Linked DNA regions of Caenorhabditis elegans. The protein of the gene in region 1 purifies or fractionates together with the protein of each later gene. This does not show direct contact. Each region holds a gene or a part of one and is shown in the gene's direction. Other genes may lie near its edges. The genes, in order: sir-2.2 and pyc-1.

Region 1 (5,356 bases):
GAAGAAAATATGTTGCATTGGGTTTACGAACAAACAAAAATTGCTGAAAAGGTACAAAAAATTCGGCGTAATGCACACCACGTTTTTCTCATTTTCAGATCATCGTTTTTCATTCTGCATACTACCATCCACGGTGTGGTATCTATGACGTCATTAACAACTTCTTCCCGTGTACCGATCCGCGATTGGCTCACATTGCTCTCACTCCAGAAGCACAGCGAAGTGTGCCGAAAGAAGTTGAATACGTATTGCCTCGTGATCAGAAACTTCTAGAAGATGCATTTGATATCACTATCGCTGATCCACTTGTCATAGATATTCCTATCGAGGACGTGGCAATTCCAGAAAATGTGCCCATTCATCATGAGAGCTGTGACAGCATTGACAGTAGAAATAACTCAAAGACGCATAGTACAGACTCGGGTGTCTCATCATTGTCAAGTAATAGCTCACATTCAGGAGGAGATAATGAGGTCAGTAAGAGAAAAAATGTAAATGGTTAATTAACAGGAAACTTCATTTTCTAATAAATAGAATCACGATCCGAGTGTGCCTTTTTCATTTCATATCCAAAAATTTAGCAAAAAATGTAGATTAAAATTTAGTTTTTATCAGGCGCTTCGTTGTAAAAACAAAGTGTAACATCCCATCAAAAAGTGATAACTTTACCGCAATTTCTCGTGTTCAAACCCAGAAAAGACATTCTTATTGCACATGGCCGCTGAAGAAAGCCTAAGAAGATATGTAGAGTCCAATACTAGTCGTTCGGTGTTTTGTAAGTCTAGAAGAAATAATACAGAATTTTGTAGGAATAAAAAAATTTTACTCCAAAACTTTACATACTTTTCATACTTTTGATATAACTTACAATTAGAGGATTTCAAAAAAAAAATAATTTGAAAGCAAATGAATATAACTAGTACTTAAAGAATGCAGAATTTCAATTGAAGTTGCTAAAATCTAGGTTTGTCACTCATTCAAACAGACTTTGGTTATATGCACATCACGTTTCATAAACATTTACAATTTCAGACTCTGACAAGTGGTATGCCAACTCATTTGAGAGATCTAAACATCGAAGCCCATCCTCTACTTCGACAGCCCGTAGAAGTTGTGTAGCACATTTTGAACATGTGAGCCTGTACAAAAGCCATAATACTTCTCAACTACTATCATCGTCATCTCTCCGTCACCAATGATCTCTACTCAAAACGGTTATGGACGGTTTTTTTGCATAAGGATTCAACTAGCCCTACACGATTGCTTTGATCTCTGTACATTTTTGCGTTTAATATGGATATTTGCTTTTTAATGGATTTTCGATCTTCTACTTTTATTGTTGATTTTTCTGGTTTTGTGGGGGTTGTGTACAAATTTTGTTTATTTGTTGTCGGTAACCACGGGTACCATATTATGTGAATCGTTTATCATCGTATTAAATCATGTATACATGCATTGTACAGAGTTTTTGAATATAATAAATGAACATGACGTCATTTGCACCTACTTTGTGCTTTTGAACTTTCACTGTTTCAGATATTTTTTATTTATGAAAAAAGGTATCTATGAACAAGCTTTTCAATACATTATAACTTTGTTGTATCTGGTCTGATCCTCAATATTTTTGAGTCTTCAAAAGAAACAATTATAAATTGCAATACATCTCAACACTGTTTTATGGCGTCTCAAATTTTGAAAAAAAAAATTATTTTATAAAAATTGATTTGCAGCAGACATGTTGAAAACGGTGCTTTTCTTTTAAATTATTTTTGTTGTGATAATGTAATTAACTACAACTTTACATAAATTGAACTGAATATACGGGTCATTCATTTTTACAAACCTTATCTATTCTATCAATACCATGACTTTTTTCGCGAAAAGTCAGCCGACATGACATGACTCTTATCTCTTTTTTTTTTGTTAATTCTTTTTTTGTTGCGACAAATTAGTGTCAAAAAACGTGAACCCATTCGATCACATAACATTTTGAACTTCAAGAAAATCACACAATCGATAAATGATGAAGTATGGTAAGTCAAAATTTTCTAATATTCCAACTGATTAATAGTTAGTGTGTTTGAGTTTTACTTTTTCAAATTAATGTTTACATTAAAACAACTATAACAATCCTCAATTGAAATATTGTACACGAAATAAAAATCAAAACATATGTATGAACATATTTCTCTTATCTTTTTGTATTCTGTCAAAGGGGTCTAATTTTTTTGACCATTTTTTTGTCAGTTAGAACCAAATAAAATCATGCCGCATGTCTGTGAAAAATCACCTTATTCTTTCTCTTTGAGATTGATAAAAACGTTCTGTAGGTTTTCCAAAATGTTAACTAAAAAATCAAATTTAAGCCGTCGGTATAGTATTACAGGCTAGGTATAGGATGCTCGGATAATATTAATTTTAAAAATTCGAAAATGCATCATACATAAAACTTTTTAATACAAAATATAGATGTTTTCTTTTTATTTATTTATTAATATAACGTATCTATATAATTTTCAATTAAGCAATAAATATTTTTGAAGATTTGAGGATAAAACTAAGCAAATTCTAAAACTGCAATGTTCAATGAAATTGCGTTATTCAGTGTTACCTATAAAGATTTTTCAAAACGTTACTCTCTTATTCTTCTCCCATTCACGTGTTGCACTTTCTGCCAGCCGCCTTCTCGGAGAAACTAGGAAATATCTGTGACTTTCTCTAGCCACTCTCTACTCTCTCGTCAGTGCAAATAGAGCGCGAATGCTTTAAAATGACGCATCAATCACTCTGTCGGTCATTTGATTTTACACTTTTCACTGATAGCTTAAAGCTCGGAAGCGGAACTATAGTGAAACATTTTATAAATTACGATTTAGATTTTTTTGAATTCTGTATCATGCTGCCTAATTTTTAATAATTTGAATATTTTTAGGCATGGCTCAAAAGTTTGTACCGGAGGCCGCCGAGCTCTGTGAAAATTCCTTGAAAAAGTTCATATCTTTGATTGGAACAGTGGACAAGCTGCTTGTCATCTCTGGAGCAGGAATATCTACAGAATCTGGTAATCTTTCATAGTTCCGATACTCAATCGTCTAAAATTTTAGTTCCAGGTATCCCAGATTACCGCTCGAAAGATGTGGGGCTGTACGCAAGAATTGCACACAAGCCAATTTATTTTCAAGATTACATGAGGTCCAACCGTTGTAGACAAAGGTGAGGTTATGCTTGGAAAAAAGTGAAAAAAGTAAAGCTGGTTAAGAAAAAAATGTTTTCCCGTTACGATTTTTCTACTCAACAGAAATGTTTTACAAGTACATCATCAAAATAGTCCGGGCTTTTTTTTTTAAATATATCTTATTCATGGTATAATTTATGCTAGCTGAGCCTTCAAAAAATATAAAATTTCAAAACAATAATTTCATATTTTCAGATACTGGTCTCGCAATTTTTTAGCCTGGCCGAGATTTGGTCAAGCTGCTCCTAACATCAATCACTACGCACTATCGAAATGGGAAGCTTCCGATAGATTCCAATGGTTAATCACACAAAACGTGGATGGGCTTCACTTAAAGTAAAGACGGTCAAAAATGAGTTAAAATTTTTTTTTAATTCAGAGCGGGCTCAAAAATGGTAACGGAACTTCATGGCAGTGCTCTTCAAGTAAAATGTACAACATGTGATTACATTGAATCAAGGTACATTGGACTGAATCAACTCAATTATGGAAAAAAAAAAACAATTTCTCAATGAGGAATTGTTTGATAAAAGCTAAAACAAATGATGATTTACTAAAATTGAACAATCACATGTAGCGTAGAAAAAAGGATTGTTATACATATTTGGATTTAAAAAAAACGAAAAGATAACATTTTAACTAAAATGTTGAAACTTCCTCTAAAATGTATCGGTGAACTTCCTTATAACATATTTTAATTAACGTACATTCTTCCTAATTGATAATGTTTGATCATTGTAACTTCATTGACTTTTCGATTTCACTCCACTTCCTGAATGTGTGGAATGGCAGACAATCTAAGAGAGTATGGACGCCTCTTAATGTATCTAATAGGCCACTTCACATTTCGGTTTGTGAACGTAAAAATAACCGTTTATTTTATAAGGGATCTCATAAAATTAAAACGTTTCAACTTCAGACAAACGTACCAAGACCGACTTGATTACGCAAATCCTGGGTTTAAAGAAGAACACGTGGCTCCAGGAGAGCTGGCGCCAGATGGTGACATTATTCTACCGTTGGGAACTGAGAAAGTAAGTGTTTTACGGTGGAATAAGTCGAAAAATACAGTGTTTTCAGGGTTTCCAAATTCCCGAGTGCCCAAGTTGTGGGGGACTTATGAAGACAGATGTCACGTTTTTTGGAGAGAACGTTAACATGGACAAAGTCAATTTTTGTTACGAGAAAGTGAATGAATGTGATGGGATTTTATCACTTGGCACGTCGTTGGCGGTGTTATCTGGATTTCGGTTTATCCATCATGTAAGGCTAATGGGATTTACTGGATGACTTTTTTGGTTATCTAAAAACAAAAACGTTTTGATGTTTCCGTGGGTAGCACAAAAATTAACTATTTAAAAAAATTTCAAACAACTTTTTTAGATTGTTAAGAGTCCTTCAAAAATAAAAATGTAAACTTTCAGGCTAACATGAAGAAGAAACCAATTTTCATAGTCAATATAGGACCTACAAGAGCTGATCACATGGCGACGATGAAGTTAGATTATAAAATCTCTGACGTTTTAAAAGAAATGTAGACTAAGACGTGTAGTTTTGGAATTTGATAATATTGTGTTGACGACAGTTTTTTGGGTACTTTCCGTTTGTATTTTGAAACTTTTTTTTATTGTTTGAATAGAATGGCAATTTGTTTCATGTTAATTGGAATAAACAATTTTTGATGAATATGATTGTGAAAATGCGTTATTTTCAGAAAAAAAATCATCTACTCCTGCAAAAAAAGTAACAAAATTGGCAAAACAAAATCCTGGAATTAGGAGATAGACTCAAATATTTTACCAAACAGCTTTTCTATATTATGAGAATATAATCACTTTTTGTTCATCAAGGATAACTTGCTTAGTTCTTTTTTAAAGTTTATGATTCTTCTTTAGTAGTAGTTTTTTTTTTTAAATCAAGATTCCCAATGGGATGATCATTTTAAACATCGCACCATATTGCTTTGATGACATGATTTAAACTATTTCAACACCTTCGTAAGGTTAGATTTTTATTATCAATTTTGTCAAATATTTTATTTCCTCATTAAACAATTATTTTTAAAACCTTGCTATCAAAAAAATTGTGGACTTTGTTCTGTACCTAGATAATCTTCCAGCT
Region 2 (7,316 bases), on another chromosome or scaffold:
TAATTTAATATAAAACAAAATTTAAAAAGATCAGTATCGAACACAATTTTACAAACTTAATTGTGATGAAAATTTACTTTTTATCAACTACTTTTATATCGTATCTATAAAGTTTTCATAAATTAACATTTGTTCTATGTACCCTTTGATCTTTTCACTTTTGACCTCTAATCTCAATGAGACATCAATTATTCAAAATGTGCACGTATTTTCTTTACCCCTCCTCTCTTTTCATACAGCAGTTCTGAGTACGTTCATGGTGCATCGTTTTCTAAACTCAACAGTCGTGTTTCTTTCTCACAAGTCTTTTTTCCTCTACGTTTACGAGTCTCTTATGCCAACCTCGTGATCGCCAGTGATTGCCGAAAGTGCGAAGAACGATCAAAATTTGAAACTTATCGAAGCTGGTTCTGTGATGTTTTGATTAGTACGAAATAAGTCATGTCATGATAGATCGAAAATTCATAGATTCTGAGATTTTCGATTTTCAGCGATAATCTAGCTATCAGATAAAATTTATGTAAACAATTTTCACATAGTCTTTCAGTTTCCAACCCTGAATTTCTAATTTTATCATTGAAATTCTTTCGTTAAATGGAATCCAAATCTTGTTTATTGGCCAGTTTAATTTTATTAAATGTGTTTCATTGATCATTAAATATCATTATGTTGATCTTTAAAGTGAACTTAATTAAATCATTTTTATTTTCAGCCCTTTACGAAAATTAACTATCCCACTACGACCAAAAACAGTTTTGAACATTTTGACATTTTGAAAAATCGAAGGTTCTGAAGTTTAAATCATTTATCCTCCTCCTCTGCGTCTCAGTTTTTGTGTTCTAGTGTCCACCCGAGTCGACTGATAAGACAAAATGACACAAACACCGTCTCTCGGCTATCAGTTTGTTGTCGCCGCAAATTCATAGCCATGGTCAAAGTGTTGATCTAGTTCTCTTTGAATCTAGATTTTTTTCAAATTTTTAACTTGATTGTGATACTCTAAGACATTTTATATCTTTAAATCCGCAAAATTAAAAAAAATTATTATAGTGCGTCCATAGTCTGCGGAAAACGGGAATTTCCCGCGTGCGGAAGCGTCCATAGTCTGCGGAAAAACCGGAGTTCCTCGCTTTTTTTTTCCTCAAAATTCAAAAAGTAGGCGTGGCCAACCAATCAGCTGTTGTTTCTTGTTTTCCCATTGCTCAGCTTAAAATTTTACAGCCTCTAATTGGTTGAACACGCCCACTATTTTGAAATTGACCAATAACAAAGCGAGAAACTCCTTGTTTTTTTCCGCAGACTATGGACGCTTCCGCACGCGGGAATTCCCCGTTTTCCGCAGACTATGGACGCACCATTAACACTAATCCCCGAGATATCAAAAAAAAAAACTAACGATAGAACAGCAAAAAATATTGGAATATTTGGCCGTGCGGAATAGATATTTAATATGGCATGCTCATAAACCATTCTAAAAACTAATTTTCTAATTTTACAAAAATCCAAAACTGAATGTTGAACGTTCTGTGGCTTCTGTAGTTTCTGTAGTTTCTGATAACTTCCTTCTTTGTTTACTTTTATTTTTTTCAATTTTCCTTATTTTCTCTAGGTTCTTCGTCTGGTCTTGGGTATGCCACGTGGTTCTTCTTTCACATCTCATTTCACCGAAAAAACCTAGAAAATCGAAAAACAAAATATTTTATTTTCTTCCCTTCTCCTATCATTCTATCAATGTTATCAGTACTGTTGTTATTCTTCTCTACAAATATCACTAGGTGGTTCTATGGAGAATGAACAATGATTTTTAAATCAATTAATGTATCTTCATACATACACTCACTCTCATGTGGTGTGACCTCTTGGTCTTTTCAAAATCTCTATTGCTCTGCGTACGTGACCTTTCACATTTTTCACCGTTCTAATTTATCACGTGGTCAACGTGGATACTTCTAAAAATCTCAAATAATGTCCGAATTCCGAAGAAGTTTACCACACTTCGATTCGTTCTTGAGCTTTCTGCTCTCACACAGTAGAAGGTACACCAAAGTAATGTTTCTGTGTCTCTTCGATGTTCACACTATCATTATTGAATAATCTTCATTGGTTGTATTCACCGAATAGGTTCACCGTCTCAAAACTATGCATGTTTCAGATAAACGACAACGATGCGGTTCTCCCGCATCCCACCGATCTTCGCTAATGTCGTCCGACAGACACATTATCGTAACTATGCCAATGGAGTTATCAAACCAAGAGAATTCAACAAGGTATTTCATTTCTTTTTCGTGCTTGAAGATAAATTCGGAAATTTTTTCAGGTTATGGTGGCCAATCGTGGAGAAATTGCAATCCGTGTGTTCCGTGCCCTCACAGAATTGAACAAAACTTCTGTTGCGATTTACGCCGAGCAGGACAAAAACTCGATGCATCGTCTGAAAGCTGACGAAGCCTATCTTGTAGGAAAAGGTCTTCCACCGGTTGCTGCTTATCTGACTATTGACCAGATTATAGAAACTGCCCTGAAGGTTTGTAGGACAAAAATTGACCAAGATTATCGTACCCTTTATAGCACAACATTGATGCTATTCATCCCGGATATGGATTTCTGTCAGAGCGATCTGACTTTGCAGCTGCTTGTCAAAATGCAGGAATAGTGTTCATTGGTCCTAGCCCCGACGTTATGGCTCGAATGGGAGACAAAGTTGCTGCTCGTCAAGCTGCCATTGAAGCTGGTGTTCAAGTCGTTCCAGGAACTCCTGGACCAATTACAACTGCTGATGAAGCTGTCGAATTTGCAAAGCAGTACGGTACACCAATTATTTTGAAGGCCGCTTATGGAGGAGGTGGTCGTGGAATTCGTCGTGTTGATAAATTGGAAGAAGTTGAAGAGGCATTCCGTAGATCCTACTCGGAAGCTCAAGCTGCGTTTGGAGACGGAAGTCTTTTCGTTGAAAAGTTTGTTGAGAGACCAAGACATATTGAAGTTCAGCTGCTTGGTTAGTTTCAGCGGAAACTATTATAATTACATAATATATTTTTCAGGAGACCATCATGGAAATATTGTTCATTTGTATGAGCGTGATTGTTCAGTGCAACGTCGTCATCAAAAGGTTGTTGAAATTGCTCCAGCGCCAGCTCTCCCAGAAGGTGTTCGTGAGAAAATTTTGGCAGACGCTCTTCGACTTGCAAGACATGTTGGATACCAAAATGCTGGTACAGTCGAATTCCTGGTTGATCAGAAGGGCAACTACTATTTCATCGAAGTGAATGCACGTCTTCAAGTCGAGCATACAGTAACTGAAGAGATCACTGGTGTGGATCTTGTCCAAGCTCAAATTCGTATCGCCGAAGGAAAATCTCTGGATGATCTGAAGCTTTCACAGGAAACTATTCAAACTACTGGCTCAGCTATTCAATGTCGTGTCACAACTGAAGATCCAGCTAAAGGATTCCAGCCAGATTCCGGAAGAATTGAAGTTTTCCGATCCGGAGAGGGAATGGGAATTCGTCTTGATTCAGCATCTGCCTTCGCAGGATCAGTCATTTCACCTCACTACGATTCTTTGATGGTCAAAGTAATTGCATCGGCTAGAAATCATCCGAACGCTGCCGCAAAAATGATTCGTGCCCTCAAAAAGTTCCGTATCCGAGGCGTAAAGGTGAGAATTCAATCAAAAAATGAAATCAAAGTACACCAAATCATGTTGATAGCTATCACCATTTTCTCACTGATAAGGAAACCCATTGCCACTGACTGATATTCTGCCTGATGGCTGATCAATGACTAAACTTTAAACTTTTTCAGACAAACATCCCATTTCTGCTCAACGTTCTTCGCCAGCCCAGCTTCCTTGATGCATCCGTCGATACGTATTTCATTGATGAGCATCCAGAGTTGTTCCAATTCAAACCAAGCCAAAACCGTGCTCAAAAGTTGTTGAACTATTTGGGAGAAGTTAAGGTGAACGGTCCAACTACTCCTCTTGCTACTGACCTGAAACCAGCAGTTGTTTCTCCTCCGATCCCATACATCCCAGCTGGAGCCAAACCGCCGACTGGACTTCGTGATGTACTTGTTCAAAGAGGACCAACTGAGTTTGCAAAGGAAGTTCGCAGTAGACCAGGATGTATGATCACTGATACTACATTCAGGTATAAACTCAAAAAGAAAGTAACATATATTAATTTCACATTTTCAGAGATGCACATCAATCTCTTCTTGCAACACGAGTACGTACCTATGATATGGCTGCTATTTCACCTTTTGTTGCCCAATCATTCAATGGTCTCTTCTCACTTGAAAACTGGGGAGGAGCTACTTTCGATGTTTCCATGCGCTTCCTCCACGAGTGTCCATGGGAACGTCTTCAAACTCTTCGCAAACTGATTCCAAATATTCCATTCCAATGTCTTCTGCGAGGTGCCAATGCTATGGGATATTCAAATTATCCTGATAACGTTATTTACAAGTTCTGCGAGTTGGCGGTGAAAAATGGAATGGATGTGTTCCGTGTATTTGATTCACTGAACTATCTTCCAAATCTTCTCGTCGGAATGGAAGCCGTTGGAAAGGCCGGTGGAGTTGTTGAAGCTGCTATCGCATACACTGGAGATGTTACCGATAAGTCTCGTGACAAATACGACCTCAAATACTATTTGAACTTGGCTGATCAACTTGTCAAAGCTCAAGCGCATATTCTTTCTATCAAGGATATGGCTGGAGTTCTGAAACCGGAAGCTGCCAAGTTGTTGATTGGCGCTCTCCGAGACAAGTTCCCAGATATTCCAATTCACGTTCATACCCACGATACATCTGGAGCTGGAGTTGCTGCTATGCTTGAGTGTGCCAAAGCTGGAGCTGATGTGGTCGATGCTGCAGTTGATAGCATGAGTGGAATGACTTCTCAGCCTTCAATGGGAGCTATTGTAGCTAGTCTTCAAGGAACTAAACATGATACTGGTGAGTTACAATATCGTTTGAAAAATGTCTAATTTATATTTAAGGTCTTTCTCTTGATGACATTTCAAAATATTCTGCATACTGGGAGTCAACTCGTCAACTCTATGCTCCATTCGAATGTGCCACCACCATGAAAAGTGGAAATGCCGATGTTTACAAGCACGAAATTCCAGGAGGACAGTACACGAACTTGCAATTCCAAGCATTCTCTCTCGGACTTGGGCCACAGTTCGATGAAGTCAAGCGTATGTATCGTGAAGCTAATCTTGTTCTTGGCGACATAATTAAAGTTACGCCATCATCCAAGATTGTCGGTGACTTGGCTCAGTTTATGGTGCAAAACAACTTGACTCGCGAAACTCTTGTCGACCGTGCCGATGATCTATCCTTCCCAAAAAGTGTCGTTGATTTCATGCAAGGAAATGTCGGACAACCTCCATATGGATTCCCTGAGCCATTGAGAACTAAAGTCCTTCGTGGAAAGCCAAAAGTCGATGGAAGGCCAGGAGAAAATGCTAAGCCAGTTGATCTAGATGCTGTGAAGGTCGAACTTGAAGAGAAACATGGACGTACTTTGTCTGAAGAAGATGTGATGTCATATTCGATGTTCCCAACGGTTTTCGATGAGTTTGAGACTTTCCGTCAACAATATGGACCAGTTGATAAGCTGCCAACGAGACTCTTCTTGACTGGATTGGAGATTGCGGAAGAAGTTGATGTAAGTGATTCTACATTAATCTACATTTCTGAATTTCACGACTTATGAATTTTATTTCAGGTTGAAATCGAGAGTGGAAAAACTCTTGCAATTCAATTGCTCGCTGAAGGAAAACTAAACAAGCGTGGAGAACGCGAAGTCTTCTTTGATCTCAATGGACAAATGAGAAGTATCTTCGTGGTTGACAAGGAAGCTTCCAAGGAAATTGTAACTCGCCCAAGAGCTCTCCCAGGTGTCCGTGGACATATTGGAGCACCAATGCCAGGAGATGTTTTGGAGCTGAAAATCAAGGAAGGCGACAAGGTAATACAACGCATATCTAAAGATGTAATAAATCAATCATGCATCCGGGATATGTATTCTGAATTTCTTTGAAAAACAAAAAAAGACAAATGGGACGAATTCAGAAGCGGTGGGCCCCACAACGGAAATTGTAGGGAAAAACGGAAAGAGATAAATTTATAGCCTTATGCCTCCCACGTTTTTTCTTCTTGTCCTACACAAAAATCACATAAAAAAATGATGGCATAAAAAATGAATATAGGAATTATTTCTTTTCAGGTTACCAAGAAGCAACCCCTATTTGTGCTTTCCGCCATGAAAATGGAGATGGTCATCGACTCTCCAATTGCTGGAACCGTCAAGGCTATCCATGCACCACAAGGAACCAAATGTAGTGCCGGAGACTTGGTAGTTGAAGTTGAACCATGAACTGACATCAATAAACTCGCATTTTGTCTCTTTTTTTGTTAATTCCATTCACCATCACAAATTCCGCCACATCGAAATTATATTTGGCGTTGTGCTATATAGAATGATTAGCCACCACCTTCTCTTTGCCATTCGAACCATCTCAATGTGTATATTCTGTGTATTGCCTCCCCAAAATTTTCTAAACGTCTTCATTGCCAGTAATTTTTCGTTTTCCCTCCACTTTTGCATTTATATTGTTTTCTTAGAAAAAGTATTTATTGCATCGGGTGCTCATTGTCTTTGTGTAGAATATAAACTCGTTCACTTCTCTCTCAATTTTATCACTGAAACTCACCGAAGAGCAATGCAACTCGATAAAGCAACTCGATAAAATCAATTATTACGTAGAAATCTAATGATGGGAAGAGTCGCCATATCATACGCGCATTGGTCTCGCCACGCGAACTGCGAGCTAGCTCGTCTCACTTTACTGACCACTATTGCTGAGAAGATTTTTAACATAAAAATAGGTTGCAATGGAGACTCATAAATCAACAGGAGTTACAGTAATTTCGTGTTTGCTGGGGAAAATGTTTATCTTTAGACTTCTACATAATACCTACGTTAGTGTAAATAGTACTATTCACTACGCCATTTAATTTAAAAAAAACAAAACACAAATTATAGAGACTGAAATATCTGAAAAGAAAACGTATGTTTTAAAGTTTTATTTATTTTACTTGGGAATGGTTTCAGAGAATTTAGAATTTTAAAACAAATTTAGTGCCATTCGATAGCTGATATTATGTACTTCTTCAACGTAAGAGACCATTTTTGCCTCGGACATCTAGAACTCGAGATATTTGCGTCTGAAAATTACTACTGATTTCAGTTGATTTTCAACGTAAGCCCAACTATTTATTTCATATGGTTAAGAGTTTTTACG

The links.
Region 2: the proteins of sir-2.2 (region 1) and pyc-1 purify together in Caenorhabditis elegans (affinity purification with western blotting, with the first as the bait; one study listed by BioGRID). This does not show direct contact.

The regions. Positions count from the first base shown.
Region 1 is NC_003284.9:13,326,330-13,331,685, forward strand, and holds sir-2.2 (NAD-dependent protein deacylase sir-2.2), read left to right. Parts: upstream 1-2,020; coding exon 2,021-2,033; intron 2,034-2,932; coding exon 2,933-3,061; intron 3,062-3,104; coding exon 3,105-3,213; intron 3,214-3,430; coding exon 3,431-3,571; intron 3,572-3,614; coding exon 3,615-3,695; intron 3,696-4,154; coding exon 4,155-4,269; intron 4,270-4,315; coding exon 4,316-4,498; intron 4,499-4,659; coding exon 4,660-4,773; downstream 4,774-5,356. Other genes in the region: F46G10.2 (ILCR1 Ig-like domain-containing protein), read left to right, coding at 1-51, 99-473, 1,033-1,119. UniProt on the Caenorhabditis elegans protein: NAD-dependent protein deacylase. Catalyzes the NAD-dependent hydrolysis of acyl groups from lysine residues. Plays a role in oxidative stress resistance.
Region 2 is NC_003283.11:11,817,202-11,824,517, reverse strand, and holds pyc-1 (Pyruvate carboxylase 1), read left to right. Parts: upstream 1-2,152; 5' UTR 2,153-2,165; coding exon 2,166-2,267; intron 2,268-2,317; coding exon 2,318-2,524; intron 2,525-2,568; coding exon 2,569-2,995; intron 2,996-3,041; coding exon 3,042-3,658; intron 3,659-3,804; coding exon 3,805-4,151; intron 4,152-4,198; coding exon 4,199-4,959; intron 4,960-5,003; coding exon 5,004-5,677; intron 5,678-5,737; coding exon 5,738-5,980; intron 5,981-6,238; coding exon 6,239-6,388; 3' UTR 6,389-6,735; downstream 6,736-7,316. UniProt on the Caenorhabditis elegans protein: Pyruvate carboxylase catalyzes a 2-step reaction, involving the ATP-dependent carboxylation of the covalently attached biotin in the first step and the transfer of the carboxyl group to pyruvate in the second.